Danio rerio: one gene and its partners. The protein of the gene in region 3 binds, or shares a complex with, the protein of the main gene of each other region. Links are inferred from orthologs where the notes say so. Each region holds a gene or a part of one and is shown on either strand. Other genes may lie near its edges.

The links.
Region 1: med16 (region 3) and med20 share a complex: the UniProt entries of both Homo sapiens proteins name them as parts of the mediator complex. The link is inferred for Danio rerio from reciprocal best matches to the Homo sapiens genes MED16 and MED20.
Region 2: the proteins of med16 (region 3) and med24 are in contact, whole or in part, in a cryo-EM structure (PDB 7EMF), measured with the Homo sapiens proteins. The link is inferred for Danio rerio from reciprocal best matches to the Homo sapiens genes MED16 and MED24. Residues at the interface, in NP_005472.2 of Homo sapiens: His29, Cys30, Pro31, Ser32, Arg52, Asp54, Asp55, Gln56, Glu82, Asp102, Val126, Glu127, Gly128, Asp129, Pro130, Val184, Ser185, Leu187, Thr203, Glu204, Ser205, Cys207, Arg208, Leu209, Arg210, Gly211, Arg212, Asp232, Gly233, Ser234; in NP_055630.2 of Homo sapiens: Ile539, Leu540, Asn541, His544, Pro545, Glu593, Arg629, Met630, Leu631, Gly632, Leu633, Asp634, Glu635, Asp676, Gln679, Gln680, Thr681, Ala682, Pro702, Pro703, Lys704, Arg705, Pro706, Ile707, Lys708, Glu709, His737, Met738, Gly739, Gly740.
Region 4: med16 (region 3) and med21 share a complex: the UniProt entries of both Homo sapiens proteins name them as parts of the mediator complex. The link is inferred for Danio rerio from reciprocal best matches to the Homo sapiens genes MED16 and MED21.

Annotation. Positions count from the first base shown.
Region 1 is NC_133197.1:572,458-578,985, reverse strand, and holds the start of med20 (mediator of RNA polymerase II transcription subunit 20), read right to left. Parts: upstream 3,657-6,528; 5' UTR 3,431-3,656; coding exon 3,417-3,430; intron 2,088-3,416; exon of another isoform or gene 1,929-2,087; intron 941-1,928; coding exon 795-940; intron 1-794. UniProt on the Homo sapiens protein: Component of the Mediator complex, a coactivator involved in the regulated transcription of nearly all RNA polymerase II-dependent genes.
Region 2 is NC_133187.1:11,210,234-11,216,079, forward strand, and holds part of med24 (mediator of RNA polymerase II transcription subunit 24), read right to left. Parts: intron 5,225-5,846; coding exon 5,082-5,224; intron 4,849-5,081; coding exon 4,811-4,848; intron 4,630-4,810; coding exon 4,547-4,629; intron 4,400-4,546; coding exon 4,221-4,399; intron 1,542-4,220; coding exon 1,442-1,541; intron 1,308-1,441; coding exon 1,132-1,307; intron 1-1,131. UniProt on the Homo sapiens protein: Component of the Mediator complex, a coactivator involved in the regulated transcription of nearly all RNA polymerase II-dependent genes.
Region 3 is NC_133186.1:14,599,429-14,605,962, forward strand, and holds the start of med16 (mediator of RNA polymerase II transcription subunit 16), read left to right. Parts: upstream 1-2,264; 5' UTR 2,265-2,546; coding exon 2,547-2,688; coding exon of another isoform or gene 2,689-2,730; intron 2,731-2,867; coding exon 2,868-2,975; intron 2,976-5,952; coding exon 5,953-6,122; intron 6,123-6,534. UniProt on the Homo sapiens protein: Component of the Mediator complex, a coactivator involved in the regulated transcription of nearly all RNA polymerase II-dependent genes.
Region 4 is NC_133179.1:2,081,608-2,087,898, reverse strand, and holds med21 (mediator of RNA polymerase II transcription subunit 21), read right to left. Parts: upstream 3,575-6,291; 5' UTR 3,530-3,574; coding exon 3,488-3,529; intron 2,875-3,487; coding exon 2,760-2,874; intron 2,674-2,759; coding exon 2,573-2,673; intron 2,001-2,572; coding exon 1,821-2,000; 3' UTR 1,506-1,820; downstream 1-1,505. UniProt on the Homo sapiens protein: Component of the Mediator complex, a coactivator involved in the regulated transcription of nearly all RNA polymerase II-dependent genes.

The DNA of each region.
Region 1 (6,528 bases), on a different chromosome or scaffold from region 3:
TGTAATATTGGTTTAATTGTCATACCGGTTTATAAGTAATCTCGTTTTGTATGTTATATCGTTTTAATTGTAATATCGGCCTGTATGTAATCTTGTTTTATTTGTGATATCGGTTTAATTGCAATATCGGTGTTTATGTAATCTCATTTTCTATGTAATATCGGTTTATAGGCAATATCTGTTTACATGTAATATCGGATTAAATGCAATCTTGTTATGTAATATCGGTTTGTATGTAATCTTGTTTTATTTGCAATCTCGTTTCATATGTAATATTGGTTTGTATGTAAAATCGGTTTATTTGTAAACTTTTTTTATATGTAATATCGGTTTGTATGTGATATCCGATTATATGCAATCTCTAAAATTATGCAATCTTGTAATCATATTGCAAAAATCAAGATCTTGTAATTATAATAAACTCCTTTTTAAAATACTCGTAATCAAATTAGTTACTTTTTAATTACATGATTCCATTATGAACATTATTTTTATATATATATATATATATATATATATATATATATATATATATATATATATATGTGTGTGTGTGTGTGTGTGTTTATAATAAATATGCTGTGAATATACGTTTCTTATATTCTTTTCATTCTATGTGTGACATCAACTAAGGGTTAGCGCAAAAGTAATCTAAATGTAATTTAAAAAGTAGTCCGGATACATTACCATAAATGTGTAATCTAACTGATTTATATTACTGACTACACATTTTGTCATGTTATTTTAATCTGTAACAGAATTTGGTTTAAGTAATCCAAGAGTTGTGTTTTTACCGGTGGCATTTCCCGTAGCGTGATACGTCTCACAGTCCACCCAGAAGTTCCCCTGTTTTACGGCTCCCAGCTGCTCCAGCTTCCTGTGGAGAAGATCCACCGTCTGCTGGACGCTCTTACCCTCGGCCACTGGCACCTGACAAACACTGACACAAACACACACACATTTGAGACGTTTAATTTATTTACAATTAAAAACAGTTTCAAAATGGTAGTTTACTAAAGCAAGATCATTCTGATCAGTGTAAACATCAATAAAAATAAATAATAAAAATAATTGTGCGAGTCTGTGTGTGCATATGTGTAATGTCTGTCTATCTAGCTATATAGATAGATTGATATACTTGAGTAATTCACCTATGAAAACCAAACCCCAGGGGTCCGTTCTTCGTACATGCATTACTCAGTTATTATATAACGGATTTGGTTATTGACGATTTGACATGTTCCAGGATCGTTACGCTCTTCAAAACTCATCTGAGAGCTGTTGTCCTATCAATAGTTCTGGTAGCTCAAACCTGCTGGGGAGCAGCAGCTTGTTTCATATAAACAGGATAAGATCGGTTCAGTTCAAGCAAAGATAATACTGAAACTATGTAACGAATTCTGATCTTTTATTACAGTAGTTATATAGTTATATACACTTGGGAAAATAGTAAATATATTTTTTAACTATATATATATATATATAAGTTAAAATATATATAAATAAAACTTATGCAATCTGCACTCCGAAATAAAAGTACAAATACTGCCACCTGGTGGATCAAAGAGAAAATTAATGCAACCTTTTTTTATAAAGGAATAATACATTCATGCAGGTATTCGGTAATATGACTGGGATTTAATGCCTTCAAAAAAGTTGCAGACATCTTTACCAATAGTAAAATGCTTTTGTGATGCAAAATTAATTTAAACATCCTGTTAATCTTTATACCAATTAAGAAACCGGCTACTATAATACTAATATGGCGACTGTAATAAGGAAAATCTGCTCTAACAATAAAATAAATTGCTGAATACTCTTGACACATGAATGTGTAAAAAAGCCTGCAGCTCACAACAAACATGGGAAGTTATTGTGTGTCATATTTAACAAACCGTTTACTAAGAATTTTAAATAATTTTGCTCACATGGAGAATTGAATATTGATCAGATGATGTCATTGCGCTGCTGTGCCGTCAGCCAATCGCTGCATTGCTGATCATGATTTTGGGGATGGATAAATCTGCCCTTCACAACACACGCTGATCTCAGATGTGCATCCAGACATTTTAATCTAATTCACGAACCTGTTTGAGGAACCAAATTAGCCAGAGATCAGTTATCAAGATGAACAGATCAAGGATCTGCCAAATCATCAAGATCATTTAAGCAACGTACGGACCCCAGCTCAGCATTTCTGTTTGTTGTCAAAACTGACAGCTGGAGGGGCGTGGTTATGAATGTTAGCCCCGCCCATTGCCTAAAACCAATAGTATCTGGATGCAGCCTTTGTGATGCAAGCTGAGATTGCATCTCTTAGTGATGCAATGTCGGACACAATTGAGCTAGTGAGGTCACTTTGAGGGGTGGGGTTAGGTGAGCACATTAAAGCTGCAGTCACACTAGAGCTTGCGTGTGCGAAAGTCCGCCGTACGGCGCTGCGAAAAGGGGCGGGATTAAACAAGATGATTAGGCATTAATAAAGCGAGTGATTGCTGCATGTGTTTCATTTCTGTCCAGAGAGCTCATGTTGATCCTCGATTGGTCTCCCGCAGTCAAGTGATGTGATTTCGCAGGTCCGACTTCACCAAGGTTGAACTTTGCACTGAAGTGACCTGCGAAACTTGACGCATGACCCTGCGTTTCCAGTCTGACGCATTCGCGTGTATGAATGAAGTCTATGGTGAGAAAAGCCCAGTGTAAGCACAGCTTAAAGTATTGGATGCAGCTCAGATTGCATCTGCACCAGGTCTGCAGCCAGACCCCTCTCTCAAAAACACACCATCTGATAATTTAACTGAAAACAAACAGGAAGAGCATTTTCAGATTTCAATTAAAGATTAGAAGGGCAAACTATTACATTTTCTCAATAATATGCACAGATGAATTATTCACCACAGAACTAGCACTGTGAGCTAACAACAACAACAAGGCTAGTTTTCATTTCATGGGCACTTTAATAAATTTTAAGACCCCGCGGACTCCCTGAACACTACTTAAATGAGTGCTTGTAAACTACAAAACTTGTTAAATGTTTTTTTATATGTTTGCAGTAAATGAAGCTGATAATCTTACACTTTTTTTTATACAAAACTTCGGGAAAACCTCGTCAAATATCCTTATATTTCATCTTAAATGTTAGTTTGAATGAACACGTGCACCTGATAATAATAACAGGCCTTCATTGTGTTCTACACAACACTAATAACAGTTTTGTAAAGTACTTTTAAGAGTGACATGTGATGTAAACATGTATAAAGCAATAAATAGACTGATGAATGAGGAGCAAAAGCCTCTCTGTGCATTCAAACAGCGCTGAACGGGAGCATCAGGAGCACCAGAGAGACTCAAAACAAGCACAACTGAAAATATTAATTATTTGAGGACAATACTTTATAAACAAAAGTGTTTCTCACCACGTTACACCCATTTCTTCGAGACAAACTTCCGCAAGCCGGGGTATTTACTTCCGGATCACTCGAGTTTGCGTGAAACACGCGAAATCAGTAAAAGTAAAACACTTAAATTCGATAAAATAAAAATATTAACAATCATTAAATTCATGTAATATAAAAACATTAGCCGCGCTAAAAATGAACAGAGCCGAGATCTGCCGAGCCTCGAGCGGAAGTAAACAGTGTGACGCAGCGCCGCTCTGGGATCAGTAGTTCTGCGCGCTCCAAAACAGCGCTCATCTCTCCAACTGCTCTCAGAGCAGCACTACAGACATATATCTATGTATACACACACACTCTCAGCGCCATTGCTCTCAGACCCACGTGTGTGCAGCTCTCCGCGGCGCGTCATGTGTTCAGACGCGATTTCACACTCATAATTCCTCAGACAGACAGGCAGATAATACTAATATTGATAACCGTCATCATGCCGAAGGTGAAGAAGGCCTGGAGCGGCGGCGCGGTGCCCCTGGCCGAGCAGATCCTCCAGCGGGACTCAGTGCGCTGCAGCGGCCGGCAGAAGCAGCGCGGCCGCGGGCAGGAGGAGCAGCAGGAGTTCGTGGATGAGAAGCTGAGCCGGAGGATCCTGGAGCAGGCCCGCAGACAGCAGGAGGAGCTGCAGGACACAGCCGAGGAGGAGCGCAGGACACCGGCGACCAGACTGGGTGAATGCTGCACTCACTGACTCTCTCTCTGTCTGTGTCTGTCCTGTTTTACCAACTGTCTGTCTGTCTCTCATCTGACTGACTGTGTGTCTGTCTCTCTGTCTGTTTATTTGTGTATCTATATGTCTGTCTATCAAACTATCCGTCAATCTGTCTGTCTGTTCCTCCATCTTTCTATCCATCTGTCTATGCCTCCATCTGTCTCCGTTCGTCTGTTTCTGTCTATCCATCTTTCTGTCCATCTGTCTATCTCTCTGTCTGTCCTTCCATCTTTGTCGGTTTGTCTATCCCTTCCTCTGTCTTCATCCGTCTGTCCATCTGTCTATCAATTTTTCTGTTTGTCTGGTCTGTCAAATCCTGTGTCTGTCCATCACTTCATCTCTCTCTTTCTAGCCATCTGTCTATCCATCTTTCTGTCCTTCTGTCTATCCCTTCATCTGTCTATCCCTCTGTCTATCCATCTTTCTGTCCTTCTGTCTATCCCTTCATCTGTCTATCCCTCTGTCTATCCATCTTTCTGTTCGTCTGTCTATCCCTCCATCTGTATATCCATTTTTGTGTCCGTCTATCCCTCCATCTGTTTATTTCTCTATTTTTCTGTCTTTTTGCCCATCTGTCTATCCCTCCATTTGTCTGTCCATCTGTCTAACCCTCTGTTTGTCTATCCCTCCATCTGTCTGTCTTTCTATCCCTCTGTCTATCAATCTTTCTGTCCTCCTTCTTTCTATCTCTCTGTCTGTCTTTCCATTTTTGTCGGTTTGTCTATCCCTTCCTCTGTCTTCATCCGTCTGTCCATCTTTCTGTCTATCTTTCCATCTTTGTCCATTTTTCTATCAATTTTTCTGTTCGTCTGGTCTGTCTAATCCTGTGTTTGTCCATCCCTTCATCTCTCTCTTTCTAGCCATCTGTCTATCCATCTTTCTGTCCTTCTGTCTATCCCTCCATATGTCTATCCCTCCATCTGTGTATCCGTCCATCTTTCTATGTCTCTGTCTATCCATCTTTCTGTTTGTTTGTCTAATCTTTTGTCTGTCCCTCCGTCTGTCTATGTCTGTCTGTCTTTCCATCTTTCTGTATGTTTGTCTAATCTTCTATCTGTCTATCCATCTTTCTGTCTGTCTTTCTGTCTACCCTTCCATCTGTCTATCCATTTTTGTGTCGGTCTGTCTATCTCTGTCCATCTGTCTATCCCTCTATCTGTCTGTCGGTCTGTCCATCTTTCGGTCTCCGTCAATCCCTTCGTCTATCCATCTTTGTCCGTCTGTCTATCCCTCCATCTGTCTGTCTATCCATCTTTCTGTTCGTCTGTCTATCCCTCCATCTGTATATCCATTTTTGTGTCTGTCTGTCTATCCCTCCATCTGTTTATGTCTCTATTTGTCTGTCTGTCTTTCTGTCCGTCTGTCTATCCCTCTATCTGTCTGTCGGTCTGTCCATCTTTCAGTCCCCGTCTGTCCCTTCGTCTATCCATCTTTGTCTGTTTATCCCTCCCTCCATCTGTCTGTCTGTCCATCTTTCTGTACATATGTTTGTCTATCCATTTTTCGTCCTTCTGTCTATCCCTTCATCTGTCTATCCCTCTGTCTATCCATCTTTCTGTTCGTCTGTCTATCCCTCCATCTGTATATCCATTTTTGTGTCCGTCTATCCCTCCATCTGTTTATTTCTCTATTTGTCTATCTGTCTTTTTGCCCATCTGTCTATCCCTCCATTTGTCTGTCCATCTATCTAACCCTCTGTCTGTCTATCCCTCCATCTGTCTGTCCATCTGTCTAACCCTCTGTCTGTCCATCCCTCCATCTGTCCATCTGTGTAACCCTCTGTCTATCAATCTTTCTGTCCTCCTTCTGTCTATCCCTCCATCTGTCTAACCCTCTGTTTGTCTATCCCTCCATCTGTCCGTCTGTCTAACCCTCTGTCTATCCATCTTTCTGTCCGTCTGTCTATCCCTCCCTCTCTCCGTCTGTCTATATCCATCCATCCAGTCATCCTTTCTTCCTTCCTTGTCATTTACAAATCTCTCCTAAAAACATCTACACACTCTTCTCCTGTTCAGTCCACTAGGGGGCGATCTAATATGCGCGCATAACTGACGTGTAACACAGATCGCCCCGCAGATGACAAGCAGGACATTTTCTGAAAACGGGGATGATGTGATGAAGGCTTGTTTACTGAAATCACGTGACCTCGCCAATTTGATCTGCACTCTGAACCACTGATCCAAAACCAAAAGATTCGTGACCTATTGGAAGCTTGCCTTGTGTTTGTCTGAACTCTTGCTTAAAGTGTGTGTGTGTGTGTCAGGGCCGGTGTCTCAGGATGGAGACTCTGATGAGGAATGGCCGGCTCTGGGTGAAGCCATGGACGAGGTGGAGCCAGAGGTGGAGGTGGACCCGGAGGACGAGCAA
Region 2 (5,846 bases), on a different chromosome or scaffold from region 3:
AATAAACACTTAAAAAAAAGAAGCGCTTTTTGTATTTTTTTTTTATGAATTCAAATTTGAAAGTGTACCTTTTAGGTTCTGTGTGGTCTAGCGTGCTGTAATTAATTTTGGTGGTTCCTGCACATGTCTGTAATCATAGGAAAAATGTCTCTACCATAATCTATGGAAAAGTTATTGTATTCCAACTGATGAGAGGTGCTGTACAAGTCACAGGGATCGATCATTGTTTTCATATTTCACTATTCTTTTGTTTGATCAAACATAATTCACTATGTTTGGACCACGTCAGACATATAAAAGTATTACTTATGCACATCACCTCAAAAACAGAGGAGAATGGCCCTGAAGCGCACAGCATAAGGTAAGAGATGACAGCTGTCTGTGCTATCTGGGGTTGCTTATTGATCATGAATGTATTGTTTTCATTTCTGCGCCATGGAAACACTGTGATTCATTTAGCAACTGTTTTATATGTGAATATAATTCAGTAAAAAAATGCTCGAACTGTATGAGCACCAACAAGAGCTTTCATTTAGCTATAACTTGCACATGTGTCATATGAAAAATATGAAAACGAACCAGTGTAAAATACCTAGCTCGGGTATCCAAAACACTGTGTATTTAAGTGTAAATAATTTTTGTAAAGTAGAATAAAAACCAAAGTGATGCATATGTTCATAAAATATAGATTTTACACTTACAACGAAACCACTTACGGGGGTCTGGTGCAATGCTAGCCCATTAAATCTTAAAGGGAAAGTCGATGTAAATAAAATTTATTCATTATTCAAAAGTAATAAATATTTCTATCTAAAATAAATGTTAAAGATTAAGCTTTGCCATCACAGGAATGCATTATATTTTACAATGAAACTTTAATAGTTATTTTAAATAGTATTTTATTTGGTAAGCTTATTATTAGACTCTTTTTAACACAAAATATAAACATATATATTCCATTTTAGATCTTATAAAGGGCATATGTACTTCCAGTAATGTCTCGGCACTTTCTAGATATTAGCAATAAAAATACTAAAAATAGAAATCTGTTTGTTGATATTCACAATTTAAGACTTTGAATGGGAGTACTTTAATGTGATTCTGTAGTCTGATGTGTGAGGAGATGCTTACCGCTCATGGTAAAACTGCAAAGTGTTTTCCCCTGACATAGGAGTCATGAGCTGACGAATCATAGTCTGAGGTTTTTCTCTCTCATCCAATCCCAGCATCCGAACGTGAGCCACCAGCCATGCCACTGCACAGATGGCCATACTGCACACCTTTCCTTTTATATTATCTGTGATCTTCTACACTCACAGAAAAACACATCTTCAGTTACAGTCATAAAGAAGAAACTACTGTGTGACATTCATACTATTGGTCCCGAACTGTCAAATGATGGGAATTGTGTGCCATTTAAAGACTTCTTAAATGCCCTCACCTGAACAGCCTCCACTGACAAAACTCCATTTTCCCAGGCATTCAGGACCTCAAGTATAGCTGCAGGAGTACTAAGACATATTTCATGCCATTTCATCTGACTGGGAAGAAGAAAGCATATGTTTGACTTATCTCACAGGCAGGACAAAACAAACCATTTTGTGGCCAATCATTACTTACTTGCATACGTTCCATACTTAAACAAAACACACTGTCCTCTCCCAAATCTGAGCAAATTTTTCATCAAATATACATACAACAAATATGCACTTTTGGATCTAGGTTCTTGGCCTGCCAATTCACATCTGGTAGTACACTCTAAAACTACACAAATGACTGTTAGGCTAATAGTTTCATTTAAAGACAGCAGACCCTAAAATATAATCCCTGATTATTATTTTATTTTTTATATTTTTAATTTTAATAAGACACTTACTTACACATTTTTAACTCAAACGTATTTCAGGATCATAAAACAAACACCTGTATCCGAGCAACAGTCAGCTCTCAAAGAGTGATCAACAGTTCCACATTAGCAAAACGTTTTGCTATAGTGAGATATGCTCCCAATCTTGGATCTATTATTCAAAACGAGTCATCACTTATCTGATGTTACACTGAATGATTAAGATATTTTCTTTGGTGTGGTGTCTAATATAGCGGTTTCTGAATGTAAAAGGTATGCAAATATTCAAAAGCATACAATAAATGAATTTGTTGTGTCATAGAGAATATTATTCAGTGATGGTCAATAATTCAGGCATTACTTCATGCACAACCCTATGTAGGTTTGTAACACATTTGAAAATGCCAGCCTTTAGTTTTCACTGTCATCCTATTAACAACATCTAAACAGTACAGTTGTGGTGTCAACAGGTCAAAAAGAAAATTTTTGCATTGTTTATACTCGACATGTCCGCTAGTTCGATTGAGTGGGCGCAGCGAATGTGACGTTATCGCAGTGTTTGCGGAGGTTAGGTTTGGGTGTACGCGTCATGATTTCGGCTGGCGGAGCGCATGATTTTTTTGAGACGAGCGAACAGTTCGCACGGCGCCACAACTGATTTGAGTTGATTATGAAACACTGAAGAGATTTTGTCTGAAACAGGTTCAACTGTAGAGACATCTTTATGATTCATGTTCATAGATATAACCAGATGATCAAAAATTCTTGGCTAAAAATTACAACATTAGTGGGAAAGGAAGAATGTTTTTGCTAAAACATTTGGGAAAACTTGAGGGATAAGTTTGTTAAAGCCAAAAGAGGCCATGGCAAAAGTGGAGACCCGGATACACAATTACAGAAATATGTTTTTCCATTCATAGGTTTTACACTAATGTATATATTATTTTTTTATTTAAAACAATATAACAGTTACAAAACTAACAGAACAAATAATTTCTTTGATAACTGGAAAGGAATATTTGAACCTATCGGTTTACAATATACTGATGGCCTGTTTTTCTAGGCTTTATTGGTGATAATGGTCAAGAATGTTGGACCATTATCTCCTTTTTAGCATAAGTAGAGGACAGAAACATTATCAGACAGTAATGTGTAAACTGTGGAGCGGGCTAAATCTAAAATAATTTTTAGTAATTGTAATGTTTTTTTTTGCTTTTATAAAAATACATTTGTAAAGCAACCCATGTTCTGTTGTCAATGATATTTTAATAAACTTTAATAGGTAAAACTGTCCGAGATATGAACATAAGTTCAAAAGATGCATCTAAGTTTGACTTAAAAAATCTTAAATGGTTATAAAAATCCTTATAATCATTAAAATAATTTATTAAAATAATAAAAATTATTTGTTTAAAAATCTTGAATGATATTAATGATATGATGTAGTCTGTGTTTATCCGTGTGATTTTACGGTGGGGTTTTTTTTAACCACCCCCTGTTGTTTTGGCGAATGCGGCAAGTATAAAAGCCCTGTCCGTTTTGTGAGGTGCGCGCGCAGTCAGCAGAGGTGTGTGATGCGGCGCCAGACGAAAGAATAAATCCAGCTGAAACAAATACACTGTATGAATCCTCAATGAATGAAAGAAAATGCGTTTTGACAAAACCATTGCCACGTTATTGTTTCTATCATTGTATTTACAAGTCCAGAGGAAGCCACTTGCAATTAATTTAATGAGCTGTAGACCAATCACTAAAAAATGGTGCCTATTTGACAATCCAAACACTCAAAAAGAGAGATTTAGAAAGAGTGGATCCTTGAACATGAACAGGGAATGTATGCTACACTGTAAAACCCAACATTCAACTTTATCAAGTGAAATGAGTGAAGTTAACTCAAAATTGACTGAAAGTTAATTCTACTCATTTGAAAAGAGTTTTGAACTCAAATTAAATACCTCATTACTTCAACTCAAATTAAGCAAGTTCACAGTACTCATATAGATTAGTTTTTGAACTCAAATGGTTTGTTGCAATCAGTTTCCTCAAACAGTTAGAGTTGCCTTGACTTATTGGGTTTTACAGTACTCCATTGGTTTGAGTTCTCTTCACTTATCAGGTTTTACTGTGCTCAAACTGCTTAATTTACTTAAATGGATTAAGTTCACAATACTCATTAGGATTTGTTTTTGGACTTAAATGGTTTGCTGCAATCAGTTTCCTCGAACGGTTTGAGATACCTTAACTTTTTGGGTTTTACAGTGTAAGAGTATATATTTTTTGTTTACTTGATGGATATACACTTATTGCTAAAGACCTTCAAAACAAACTTGTTAAATAGAGTAATAATGGCACTTTAAAGAGAAGCACCACTTACACAAGCTTCATCTCAGATGAAGAATTAAGCAGGGCCACCAGGCTCTCCACCTTCCCAGACTCAGGTCTAAAGCAAGGGTGGTCTGGATTCAGGGTCTTCCCTTCCTCTGGCATGCACGTCTGAAGCCATGTCTCAAAGAAAGGGGTCTCGCTTGATGGGCTGGGGTCTGAAAGAATCACCTGGACAGACAGGAAGTAGGATATGATCGGAGCGTTTTGACTCAGTTGTGACTCTGAGTGTTTTGCGATGACAGGATGTGATTAAGAATTATATAAGAACATTACATAACCTTATCAGATTGAAATTATGTATGTGTAAATGCTGACCTCTGATCCATACGTCTGTACGACATGACACAGCATGAGGAAGGAAATGTCGAATAGCAGAGCTCGTACTGATGCAGACTTCGCTAGAAAGTAGATTGTTAAAAGTGAACTTGTGCTCAGATTTGGCTGGGTAATGTGCTGCTCAAAATACCCAAATATATATCCTTAATCTTCCATTATAATTTACAAAAATACATAAAGAAAAAATTAGAAGAGGGCAAAAATTCACAGCGAATAAACATAATAGCCTGAAAAGAAACTTACATCCTTCTCCACTAATGTGCTTTGGAAACTCGTTCAGCCTGGAAAAGAACAAATATACATCAAACTTCTTGACACTCTGTATTTTTGGGTTTACAGATAAAACCAGTGTTTCTCAAACATGTTCCTGGAGGACCACCAACACTGCATGTTTTGGATGTCTCCTTTATCTGTCACACCCATTACAGGTTTTTCAGTCTCTGCTAATGAGCTGATGATCCTACAGGAATGTGGTTGAGAAACACAAGATAAAATGATCCGATCTCTGTCATACTTGATGAATTTGCGGGCGAAAGACTTGAGTTTTCCAGTGGCTGCAGCAGCGGCCAGTAGCAAATCAAGACTCTTTCCTGAGAGCATGTGACCCAAAACTCCCAGCAATCCCTCGGGAGACTTAGAATGATCCGCATCCACGGTCTAAATAACCAGAAAGGCAAGTAAAAGTCATTAAATGATAACACTCACAATAAAACTCCATTAATTAAGAATCAAACATACTAATCAATATGAATTTGCAATGAAAACACTTCTAAACCATTTATTAATCTTATAATAACAGTAAAAGACAAAATTCATAATAGCAATAATCATTAGTTATAATTGGTCTTTAAAGATATTATGATACTTAACATTTATTACATTTTTAAAAGCTAAATTTGATCTAACATGGCAGTTCCATTTATGAACACTACAAAACAGGAACTCAATTACAGATTACTAGTTAGTAAGAAGTCATAAACTTATAAGAATAAACATAAATTGTCCAAGAGTGACATCAAGTTCAGTATTCAATTAACAATTTGAGTCATGGGTTAATTATGACAGATAAAAACATAGGCATACGAGTTCAATAAAAGAGAAACTATATGAAATCCCACTAATCAAAATCATTTTAAAACACCTTAAAGTTGAGATGGTAAAATCACCCTATACATTTTATAATTCATCATAGATCTTACTGTGATTCATCCATGTGTTTATTCATTTTACACATTCGTTTCTGTAATCTTTGATCAAATTCATGAAAAAAATCAAACTT
Region 3 (6,534 bases):
TGTTGTTTCTGGTTTCTCCAAATCGTATTAATTTATTATTGCGTCACGTCATAATAGAGTGGAAAGGCTATTTAGTACAGCATCTATGGTACAAGTCACGCAGTAGAAGTAAGTAAAGATAAACATGCATAGCGCTTGATTGCGGTGGGGATGACCTCAAAATACGAAATAAGCATATTTTTCATGAGGATTGTTTAGATTTCTGCTATTTTATTAGAGACAATATTATTTGTAGTTCAACTTTGTTTGCAAATGTTTTAATTGAATTTTTACTATACATAATTTACAAATATATTTGCTCAATGTATTCATTCTGTTTGGAAAGTTTAGTACAAATAATTTCAAATACAAGCCATTATTTTATTCATTTTCTCTGCGGTCACCACAGCGGAATGAACCGCCAACTTATCCAGCATATGTTCTACACAGAGAATATCTTTCCAGCTGCAACCAACCCATCCAGTACTGGGGAACATCCATACAGTCTCATTCACACATACATTCAATTCACCTATACCTACCACTTCTTTGAAACCGGAAACCGGAGCACCTGAAGGAAACCCGGGGATAACATGCAAACTCCACACACAAATGCCAACTGAACCAACAGGGACTCGAACCAGTGAACTTCTTGCTGTGAGATCTCAGTGCTGCTAACCACTGAGCCACCATGTCGCCTCAAGTCATTATTTGTGATTTTGAATCAGAATTTAAGCTTTACTTTCCCAGGGATGGGTTGCGGCTGGAAGGGCATCCGCTGCGTAAAACATATGCTGAATGAGTTGGCGGTTCATTCCGCTGTGGCAAACACCATATTAATAAAGGGACTAAGCTGAAAAGAAAATGAATGAATGAGTTGCTTTACTGAAAAATGATAAGCTGTTAGCTGTAAATATTGCCATGTTTTCATTTGATGTGCGTATTATGGAAATAATAATAAGCAAAACAATCTAAATTTGAATTGTGTTAATTTGAATTAGACAATTGTAATTTAATAAATCTGAATTTTTATATGCCGTTAAAAATTGTTTTGAATTTCTTAGTTTGAATTTTCTAACTTGAATATTGAAATGTAAGACAACTGAATTTTTCAAGGCGGAATTTTTTATAGACATATTCTCAAACGTTTGATTTTTTGTGTTAAAATATTACAGTAGGCTATTTTTTGACTGAAATGCATTGAAATCAAAATGTCCAATGGGTGGCGCTAAATCTCTCTTTGTCACTGAATTGTTCATTCACATTCGTTATTTAGACCATATATATATATATATATATATATATATATATATATATATATATATATATATATATATATATATATATATATAGATATATATATATATATATATATATATATATATATATATATATATATATATATATATATATATATATATATATATATATATATATTTCCAGCCCTGAATTTCACAATCTGAATTTCTGGTTTTGAATTTTATGATATTGATTTGGATGTTCTAAATTTCTTCATCTTGAAAATTTGAAACTGTATTTTCACAAACTTAATATCTACAGTCTATGAACTCAGAACACAAACAAATCAGGCTTGAAAAGTTCTTGCATTTCAGATGTTCAATACTCAAGTTATGAAATTCAAATTCAAATGAAGAAAATCAAATTTAAAAGATTTTTAATGTCATAAAAAAATCTGATTTTTAAAATTAAAATTGTTAATAATTCAAATGAATACAATTCAAATTGTGATTGTTTTGGCACATTATTAGCTCTGTACGTCAAACCCTTTCTGAGACACACACACACACACACACACGCACGCACGCACGCACGCACGCACGCACACACACACACACACACATACACACACACACACACACAGAGAGAGAGACTTAAAAGGTTAACTTAAACATATAAATTAAATTATAAAAATGTATAAACAAAAATAAAACGTTTATATAAAAAAAGAGAAAAATAATATATAAATAGCGTACATACATACATACATACATACATACATAGATACATACATACATACATACATACATACATACATACATACATACATACATACATACATACATACATACATACATACATAAAAGCATAGGAACAAAAAAGCCTTTTGTTAATAAATAATGCATAACCATGCATGAGTAAACATTTTTGTTAACGCTTTTATGCTTCAAAAGTAACGTAGATAGACAAATACAGAAATAGATCGGAGCTCCAGCCCAATAGGGGGTGGTAAGTATTAGATGAGTCTTTGAATCCGGAAAGAGTCGACGAATACAGGCGCTCAATGATGTGATGTGCAGCTTCAAAGTGCTATTTGCTGAATTAGAATAGATTTGAAACGCCAGAACAATTTATATTATTAACAAATTAATTTATGTTCGGACTTATTAGCAGGAGCATGTAGTTTTGAGTCTGCCATACCCATCATTTTCTTCTGTTTCTGTACAGTAGCGGTGTTTGCTTTTGTTGTCTCCCGTAGTGATTGTGAACACATTCAAAGGTGTTCATTTGGGGCATCTGTGCTGTAAACAGTAAGTTTCCTTCATTATATGATGGATATCGCATATGTTTGCGAGTGGGAGAAGAGACCCAAGAGCAACCACTGTCCTTCAATCCCTCTGGTGTGCGCCTGGTCATGTAGAAACCTCATCGCTTTCACCACTGACCTGAAGAATGAGGAGGATGACAAAGGTCTGGACAATGCCTTTATTACCAATATTACCACTCCTGTTGGTGAGTTATGAATGGAGGACAAGAAACAACATACATTTTCAATTCGTTTTGGATCCAAAATACATAGAACAATGGTGTTTATTTATGATCAAGCATTATATCAGCAACAACAATCATGTTTTTTTTTTCTGTTGCAGATCTCAGTCATATGATACACATCATTGACACTGATCACCCCTGGGATGTGTACTCCATCAATTCTGGTCACAATGAGATAATTTCCTGCCTAGAATGGGATCAGTCTGGTCAGTCATCATGATGATAAAGATGAAATGGGCTAAACATTTGGCAATATGTGCAGATCATATTTGACAAGTTTTTTTTAGAAGTAAAGTTTCCATTTATTTTAGGTGGGTAGTCTCAGTATTGTAAGGGTAAGCCTAATTTTACTCGATTAATGTACTGCGATGGTCTTAAATCAGTACAGATTAGATACAGAATAATAAAATCTAATATAATATTTATTTTTATTATAGATTTTTTGTAATAATATAATTATTTTATAATTGACATTTGAATCATTTTAGAGTGTTAAAAACATTTGAAGAGAGACGCGTTTCAATGTAAAACCTAAATACTTTTCCAAATCAGGGTTTTTACCATTATCAAATACTAAAACTATTTAAAAAATCTGATAATAAAGAAAAAACTTGTATTAAATGAAAATTACAAATGTTGCTTTAGCAAGTAACAGAACAGAAAAAATATATATAATTTATTAAAATAAAAGTAAATCAAAAAGGCAAATAAAAAAATTATACTTTATATTATAACAAATGAAAACAGTAGTGCAAATAATACAATTGCTAAATTTAATATGAAGCAAAAAAGCCAAATCAAAGTATGAAGAAAAATAATAATAAAAAAGGTATATTCATTTTTATTTAATATTCATAAAACATTTATTAATTAAGTTGTTTATAAAATCAGTTTTAGGGATACTCCTAATAACTGATTAACCCGTTAACTTAAAGCAGGGGTGCCCAAACTCAGTTCTGGAGAGCCGGTGTCCTGCAGATTTTAGTAGGGATGGCTGACGTGAAACTGACGTTTCGACACAGTTTCGAGATCCCGAAGCACAAGTGTTTCGAAACACTGCACCGAAGCATGATCCGAAACACCCAATTCACGTGACTAAAGTGTTTCAAAACACCTGGACACGTGACTAAAATGATTCAAAGCAACAATCAGTTAAGAAGTGTTTCGAGACCTTGCGAATCTGGATGTAACTGCCGGCGTCAGTTTCAAAATCTGTCTCATATGGCCTGGTGGACTGTGCCTGTACACGCTGTTTTTATACTTCCAATGACTTTTGGGTTTGAATCCCGACTTGTACAAATACACCTAAATCATGGTTTTATGTATTTTAATCATGTTTCTGTTTTATGGTGTAGCCTAAATAGATTAAAGCTGAGGATACGCCATCAATATAGCATCATTTTTGTAACACTAAAACAATAATAAATATTTTTACAGTACTGTGATGGTTGGGTTTAGGGTTTGGATAGACGTTAATGAAATACAATAAATGGGAAATTTAATAAATAATATAAATAATTCTTGATACCTTCTGGCCACAACTGTGTCTGATCTAGCAACAACTCTGTTTTAATACCAAAACAAGACATATTTATTTACAAAGTGTTTATTCGGATGTCAGACCAATGTTGAAACAAAACGAAACAAGAACAAAGCATTACCAACTGGTATTAAAGCATTTCAAAAAAGCCGTATCAGCCTGGATTCAAACTCAATATCCCCACATGGAAGTCAGAAACCTTAACCGCTCCACTAAATCTCTTGAATAGATACTTTTACAAAGTGGGGTGTAATACCTCAATTTGCTAAAATGTTCTTGCTGAAGCTGTTTCAGTGCAATACATAAAAATGACCACTAGGTGGTCACCGTAGAGTGGGGTTTCAAAACATTTCGAAGCTTCGACACATTTGCTTCGACTGTTTGTTTCAGTGTTTCATGAAGCCTCGCTTTGCCCACCACTAGATTTTAGCTCCAACTTGCCTCAACACACCTGCATAGATGTTTATAGAAAGCCTTTAAAAAGCTTGATTAGATAGCCCAGGTGTGTCTGATTGGGTTGGAACTAAACTTTGCAGGACACCGGCCCTCCAGGATAGAGTTTGGGCATCCCTGTCTTAAAAGGTGCATTTTAATCTATTATTGGTATCAGTTAAATGATTAAAAATGTATTGTTTTTATTTTATTTAAGTTTGGCTGCATAAATGTGCAACACATATTTGCTTATTCGTGAGACAGTAACATGTGCAACTACATGTGCCCACAGACATATTTTGCCAAAAAAGCAAAATGAAAGAAGGATGATGCTGGTCACAGTTTGACACAGACAAGTCGATGCCAAAGCAGCACTGATGCTGATTGCTAAAAAATGTAGCGGAGCATTAATTAAATGCGGTTGTTATTATGTTTGCATGTTAAAATAAATCAGTATTTTAAAATGCAATATTAAATGTGTCGGACACAAAATAGACACGTCAATTGCTTTGTTTTAAATTAAATAGTAGTTTAATATTAATCTGACCAGTTAGCAGTTAATATTCAGTTAATGAGTGGCAGATTTCGATTGGCAAAATTAACCGAAATGAGCATCCCTAATCAATGTATTTGTTCAAATAAGTCAATAATGTTTGCCTCTTGTTAGGGTTGGGCCGATAGTCGATGCCATCGTCCATCTTCGATGGCCAATAGACAACACAATGCTGAGCTTGCATCGCTGATCCTCCGCCCCATCACAAACCCTCACGCAAAAAATACACACTCAGGCCCCGTTTGCACAAAGACGTCTTAGTGTAAAGATGGCATTTTAGAACGAAATGATCCACATCTCCATCGTGTTTTACCTAGCATTTCTGAACAGCCCTCCGTCCGCTGAAAACGCACATCACGTGACCACACACAAACACACACATACAGACAGAAACAGACAGACATTCACAGACGCAAGTGGTGCTCACTTCAGAGCCACACACTGTCATGCGCTCCTCTGAGTTCCAGAGACAGAGAGTCGTGCATGTTTGACAGTTTATCAAGGGTGTACCACTGGATTGCGTCTCATTATAGTTGTTAAACTTGATATTCAGACATACCGTCATATGCCATCGTCCATCGCGATGGTTTACATTAGACATTGTATGATGCCAAATTGGTCGACATTGCTCAACCCTACCTCTTGTGTGGTTTGCTAGGTTCGAGGTTGTTGTCTGCTGATGGTGATGGTCAGATCAAGTGTTGGGGCATGACAGAGCACCTGGTGAACAGCTGGGAGTGCGCACAGAGCAGCTCAGTGGACGGAGACCCTATTGTAGCACTTTCATGGTTACACAATGGAGTCAAACTCGCCCTGCATGTTGAAAAGGTACAGTATGTGAATTCCCTTACCTGCCACTGTTACTTTTGGCTTGCTTGGTTAGGGCCGGCGAAGCTGATCTTCAGTCTATTGTCCTGCAACTACAGTTTGACATTCTTATTGAACTGGGCTGCATTTCCCAAAAGCTTAGTTAGCCTACAGTATGTAGATTCTAAAAATAATTGTACGATTGATCTTAATGTTATGGTCTGTGTCCCAAAAGCATCGTAACTTAATAGATCTGGAAAGTCATCAATGATCTATGAGTGCATTAAAATAATTGTTAAAGCTTTATGGCAATTTCAGACTGTATGATTTTCAAAATCTTCTGGTTGCCATTGTTTTCAAACTAGTGATGAGAAGTTTGGATCTTTTCCGGGAACTGGATCTTGATGAAGATGAAAAGCTGTGTGCTTGAAAC
Region 4 (6,291 bases), on a different chromosome or scaffold from region 3:
CCGCCATGCTGTTTACTGACTGTAGGACGCAGGAGGAAGAGCGAGCTCCGATTGGACTAAAAGACAGCTACGTCATGCGTTTTTCAGCGTGGCTGCAGACCAACTGAGGTATTTTTGCATTTTTTATTCTCAAGTGTTTACTCCTCCTTGTGGAGAACTGTTCAACTGTGGCTATAATGGGTATTTAACAATTTTTAATTTTATATTTAATGTAATTTAGCAGAAACGTAAATAACAATATGCCGAGAAAGCTGCACGTTTGAACAGCACAGTGTTTACATTTAGAGTTTTTTGCAGTATTGTATGATGTTAAAATAGTTTATATTTTATTACTATTTATTTTATATTTCTATTGTTTATCTAGATGTTATATATTAAAGAAAATAATATATATAATAACATATATATATATATATATATATATATATATATATATACATACATACATACATATATACATATATATATATATATATATACATACATACATATATACATATATATATATATACACACACACATACATACATACATATATATACATATATATACACACACACACATATATATATATATATATACACACACACACACATATATATATATATACATACATACATCTATATATATATCTATCTATATATATATATATATATATATATATATATATACACACACACATACATACATACATATATACATATACACACACACATATACATATATATATATAGCTTAAAAATATTTACTATTTTCCCAAGTGTATATAACTACTACTGTAAGAAGATATCAGAGTTCGGTTCATACTTTCAGTATGTTGTTTATATAAAATGAGCCTGCTCCCTAGCAGGTTTGAGCTATCGGAACTGTTGCTATGACAACAATTTTCAGATCAGTTTTGAAGAATTAAACGATCCTTGATCATATCAAATCGTCAATAACCAAACCCAGCTAAACTGGAGTCATCCATGTGCGAATAACGGACCGCTAGCAACAACCAGTACAGCAAAGAAACAGCAACATGACAGCAACAGCAAGTTAGAAGGCTTAAAGAGAATGTCTGTTTCTAATGTATTGGAAGCAGATATTTACGTAGGAACAACACAACAACAAAATGAAGTGATGTTTAACACAATTTGCCGTCAGTTTAACAAGTCAACCACCTTTTATTAATAGATTTTGAACTGCAAAAAACCTGCACATTTTCCATACTGCTCTTTTTGTTTGCATAACACTTTGAATTTTGCTCATTATTTATTAAAGCATCTTTAAGTATTGAAATTCGAGATTCACAGACATTGTTTTTGACACATTATTTAAAATATGTGGCTAAAAATAGCTATCATCTTAGCTTTTTTTTCTCTTCTTTTTTTATTTTTGGTGGGGTCAGTAAAAAATTTGGCAGGGCAAGTAAAAATCTGAACCACTGGCCCGATCGGACCAGTAGAAAAAATCCATAGCGTTAAACCCTGAACAGGTCAAAGTTAAAAATAAAAACAAGCATGTCATACAATATATTTTTATTTGTTAAACATAACTTCTTTCAAAACAAGAGTATCAGCATAATGCTGGTGAGGGAAAAAAACAACATTTAATTTACAAAACATACCCAGAAGCTGACTATTAATGGTAGTAACACGCTGATGAACATTACACAAGGTAAAAAACAGAGGTCGCACAATAAAGACATGCGATGGGAAATCAGCTTTCTTTAGTCCAGAAACCGATGTGAAACAGTGAGTCTCCTGCAGTCGATGTAGGATGCGTATAAAATCCCTGCTGTGTCCCGACACTATAGTTCATGTTGTGGTTTTTTTCTGTCAGGATTCTGGAGGTGTTTGCTGACTCGGGGCTCCGCTGCGGGTGCGGAGCTGTGATTGGGCGATGTCTGCTAGTGCCGTCTGGATCTTCTCCAGCAGGGCGTCTCCTCTGTAAACCACTTCCTCCAGACGCGCTGCAGCTTCCTGGTTCTCCTCTTCCAGCTGTCGCAGACTGGCGGCCTAAGAAACGCATCAGAAATGACAACAAGTAGAGACGAGGTATAATGCTAATGTATTGTTGTTCACTCTGTACTTGGACAACATGGGTAGCACAGAGCCAGATGTGCAATATATGTGGCATGGGATGAGCAATTAACAGTAATCAAGTTTGTAATATGATTAATATCTAGCTAATTGGTCATTTGTGTATTATTGTCATGGTATATTTCAGTGTTTCTCAAATCCATTTCTGGGCTCCTACTGCTCTGTACATTCAGTGCAGCTTCTGGAGCTTTCTTCTAGCAAGATGATATTTATAATCAGGTCCATTATGTAGGCATAACTCAAAATGTGCAAAGCAGTGGCTCTCCAGAAATGGATATGAGATGCACAGGTTAAGCTGAGATTCATTTTTAATGCAACAATATAATTTACAGTTGATTTTCTTCTCTTTGAGTGCCAGAACTCAAAACCTGAAGTGCAGAACAACCATATTTTAAACAGCAGAAGGCTCAATAATTATATAATGATTCAATAATAATAATGTGGTGTTGGCCAGTGATACAGTGTGTGTGTGTATATAATAAATGTACCTGCAAGGCTGCAGTGGATTCTTCACTGGGCAGAGAGTCGATCAGCACATCAACATCTTTTGCTGTTCTTGCTATCAGCGCTGCAAACAGCTGAGCATATTCTAGAAAAAACACATCTTAGTATGTCAACTTCAAAACACATTATTTTCAAAGTGGATCACATTCAGATCAGTGCAGATGAGAGCACCTTCTGTGGGGTTTGAGGGCTGGTCTTTATTGATGGCCGTCTGGATGTTGCTGAAGGAGGCCGGTGGTGCGCACTGCTGCAGAACTCCAATCGCATTACAGAACTGATCCGCCAGCTGAAACACGACATGCAGTAAATCAGACATGCAGGACAATCCACTGTTACTTTCAGTTTACATGTTCTTTGACATGATGAGAAGTATTAGTACTCAGTGCTAAGATTGTGAATTATGTAATATATGAATAAACACAATTACATGTAATGTTTGATTAAACAACATTAATTTAAAACAATTTAAAAATAATTAATATTGCACTTTGAAGAACACAAAAAAAGAAATATTTAAGTGTACTTCACCAATATATAAGTAACAATAGCACTTACAGAAATGTATGTATATATTATATGTTATATTATAATTATATAACGGTGCCTTTTATATACACTTACTTAGATTATAATAGGACTATTATTTTCAGTTTCGTTTTATTTATAACAAGTAAAACATTTATTACAGTATCAAAACACATATGACAACAAACTTCACCTGTTCATTTGTTCACAAATTGCACGCTATGCTAACACTTCAGACGCTACAGTACATCAACATGACTTCTTAAGCAAATAATCCAATTTAATGAACCAGACTATTAAGTAAATCTGTTCGGAAGACATTTGCTGTGTTCTGCAGTTTCTGAAGTATAAAATAAACGTTAAATGAGTCTTACGGAGTTCACAGCATCCTGAAGCTGCGTTAGCCTGTCGGCCATGTTGGCTCCTCTTCACAGTTTCCGTTTCCGCCGAGCGCGTTCAATGCTACATCACGTGATACAGCGCAGCGTACAGCGAAAGCGCTCGTCTACTGAAAAGTTGTTGCATTTTCGCGCAAAGCAGGAGTGCTTGACACTTCCGGAGGCTGGATGTGAAGCTTCAACATGACTGCCGAATGTAAATGCTTCTGCTAAAGCGTGTTTATGGACTGGACTGATCCGGGAAAATGCCACTGAAGAGAGAATGTTTGGTTCTGCTCGTCTTGTCGTGGGTCGGTTCACTGCGCGCTCAGGATGAGAGTGAGTAACGTTAAACCCCTAATACCTTCTTTATTACGCTTGATAAAATATATAATCCCTATATAACGCACATATGTGGCAAATAACAGTTGTTTAAAGTGTGACTCAGCTCATTTAGCGACATATGAATCGAAATCAATCATGTCAACTATGTATTTCTAATCAATTAGTGATTGATATGATGTTGCAACTGATCTAAAGTTCACCGTTACGCTAAATAAACACAAACATCCCAAAATATCTTACTTATCACGCTTAATTAATTATATAATCCCTTTTAAACGCACACATGTGACAAATAATTCGTGTTTGTAGAGTGAATCAGCTGCCGACATATCAATCTGAAATAATAATCCTAAGAATGAAATGCTGATCAATTAGTGATCGATTCGTGTACTGATTTAAGGTCAATATATCAATCTGAAATAACCCTATTATTGTTACCACATAATAGCTAACATAGAGGTAACGTTGCTTTTATAGTCGCACATTCGTTTATTTAGCAGTCTCTGTATTGTTTACCATGTTAACGTTAACGTTACTTTGAATATTCGATAGACATTAGCAGGCAAGGATGACTTCAAAACAACATCGACAATGATTTCCCTATTTAGAATTTGTAAACATTACTTTTCTGAAATTACCTTATTGAGGAGAAAGTCTGAATATGTGAATATAAAACAGACTTTACCTCTATATAGCTAACTATTATTGTTCTAGTGTATTTGGGTTTTATGACTGCTTGTACTGTTTATAAACTGGACTACATTGATATTTATGAGGTGATGATTGCTGATAATGTAAATACACACACACACACACACACACACACACACACACACACACACACACACACACACACACACATACATACATACATGCATATATATGTGTGTGTGTGTATGTATATATGTGTTTGTGTGTGTGTGTGTGTATGTATATGTATATATATATATATATATATATGTATATATATATATATATATATATATATATATATATATTATAATTTAACACTTTAGTGAATCTTAGACAATGCATAAAATAATTAAATACATAAGTGACTGATTTATTTATTTGTTTAATTTTTCATACACAAGAAAGACATTCATTACGACTAATATAGTAAGAATATTAATCTCACACTTGGGAAGATAATAAGTTTACGGTAATCAGATGTATAAACTGAGCAAAAATATGCAATTTGGTGCTGATATAAACATTATTATACCCAAAACATTCAGAGGTCTGTCAGAGTACTTGCATAAAATGCATATAAATATTACTGTCACTCTATCGCAGAGTAATATGTCTAAATGCAATACTTTTTTTATTTTTTAAAAGCAATGCATTGTAATGATGAAGGAACAATTCTCAAAAATATATAAAATAGCAAATATCAAATTTGCTCAATTTACTTTTAATTATTTATTTTTATTAATATTTAAAGATATTCATCTATGTAAAGACACTGATCATGTTAATGATTTCTCGAATGTTTTTGTTTTAGCGAGTTTTTGATCTCTACTTCATTTGGGAAAATAAAAACATTATTTCTGAGAATTATTGTTTCTCAAAATTCATATTTGATACTCATATTTCAGCATTTATGGACATTTCAATGGTCAAGAAAAACAAAATTTAGTCTTTATTTTCATATTATAATATTGATATTCTTACATACAATTTTTATTTTTATTTTATAGAGATATATTTTAATATTATATAAGGTTTTACTTCTGATAAGTGATCTAAACCACAAGCTGAAATATTTGTGCAATTTAAATAAAATATATTTAACAAAAAAAAAAGCATAAACTATCAATCATGCGACACAGTGGCCTGTAGTAGATTGTGTGCAACAGGAAAGGTTTATTACTATTGTCATTTTTTAGACACTTGGAAACTAAGTATAAGTGTAATGCTTCACACCTCTGTCTGAATTTCCTGCTCGTCTTTCTGAAGCTGTTGTGGATTTAACACATTTTCAGTGTCTGTCAGTCATGATTTTGTGCCTCCTTAATAATGCTCTTTTATTTTGTAACAGTGGTGCGTTTTCATGCAGTTTTTCTCATTTAATTCCCCTCGTTCTTGCTTGCGCTGCACAGACAACAATGAAGCGCAGCAGCAATCCATCACATGCAATTTAGAAACTATTTCCTCATTCCTGAACAGACCCAGAGATTTTTTCTCGACTCAAAACAAACATTGTGTAGATTTTTAGTAACACTTTTAATTTAAATAAACGTGACCCTGAACTGTAAAACAAATCCTTAAATTAGCCGTTTTCCGTATTTTGTGATTCATGTTTTTATTTTCCCCCATTTATTTATGCTTTTGCATTGCATTATGGGATCCTGATCTTTCTTGATCAGTGTGTATTAACGTGTACATGTATCCATCTATCCGAGTATGTTTGTTGTTTATTTTGTTCTGTTTGCTTGCACTTTTTTTGCATTTGT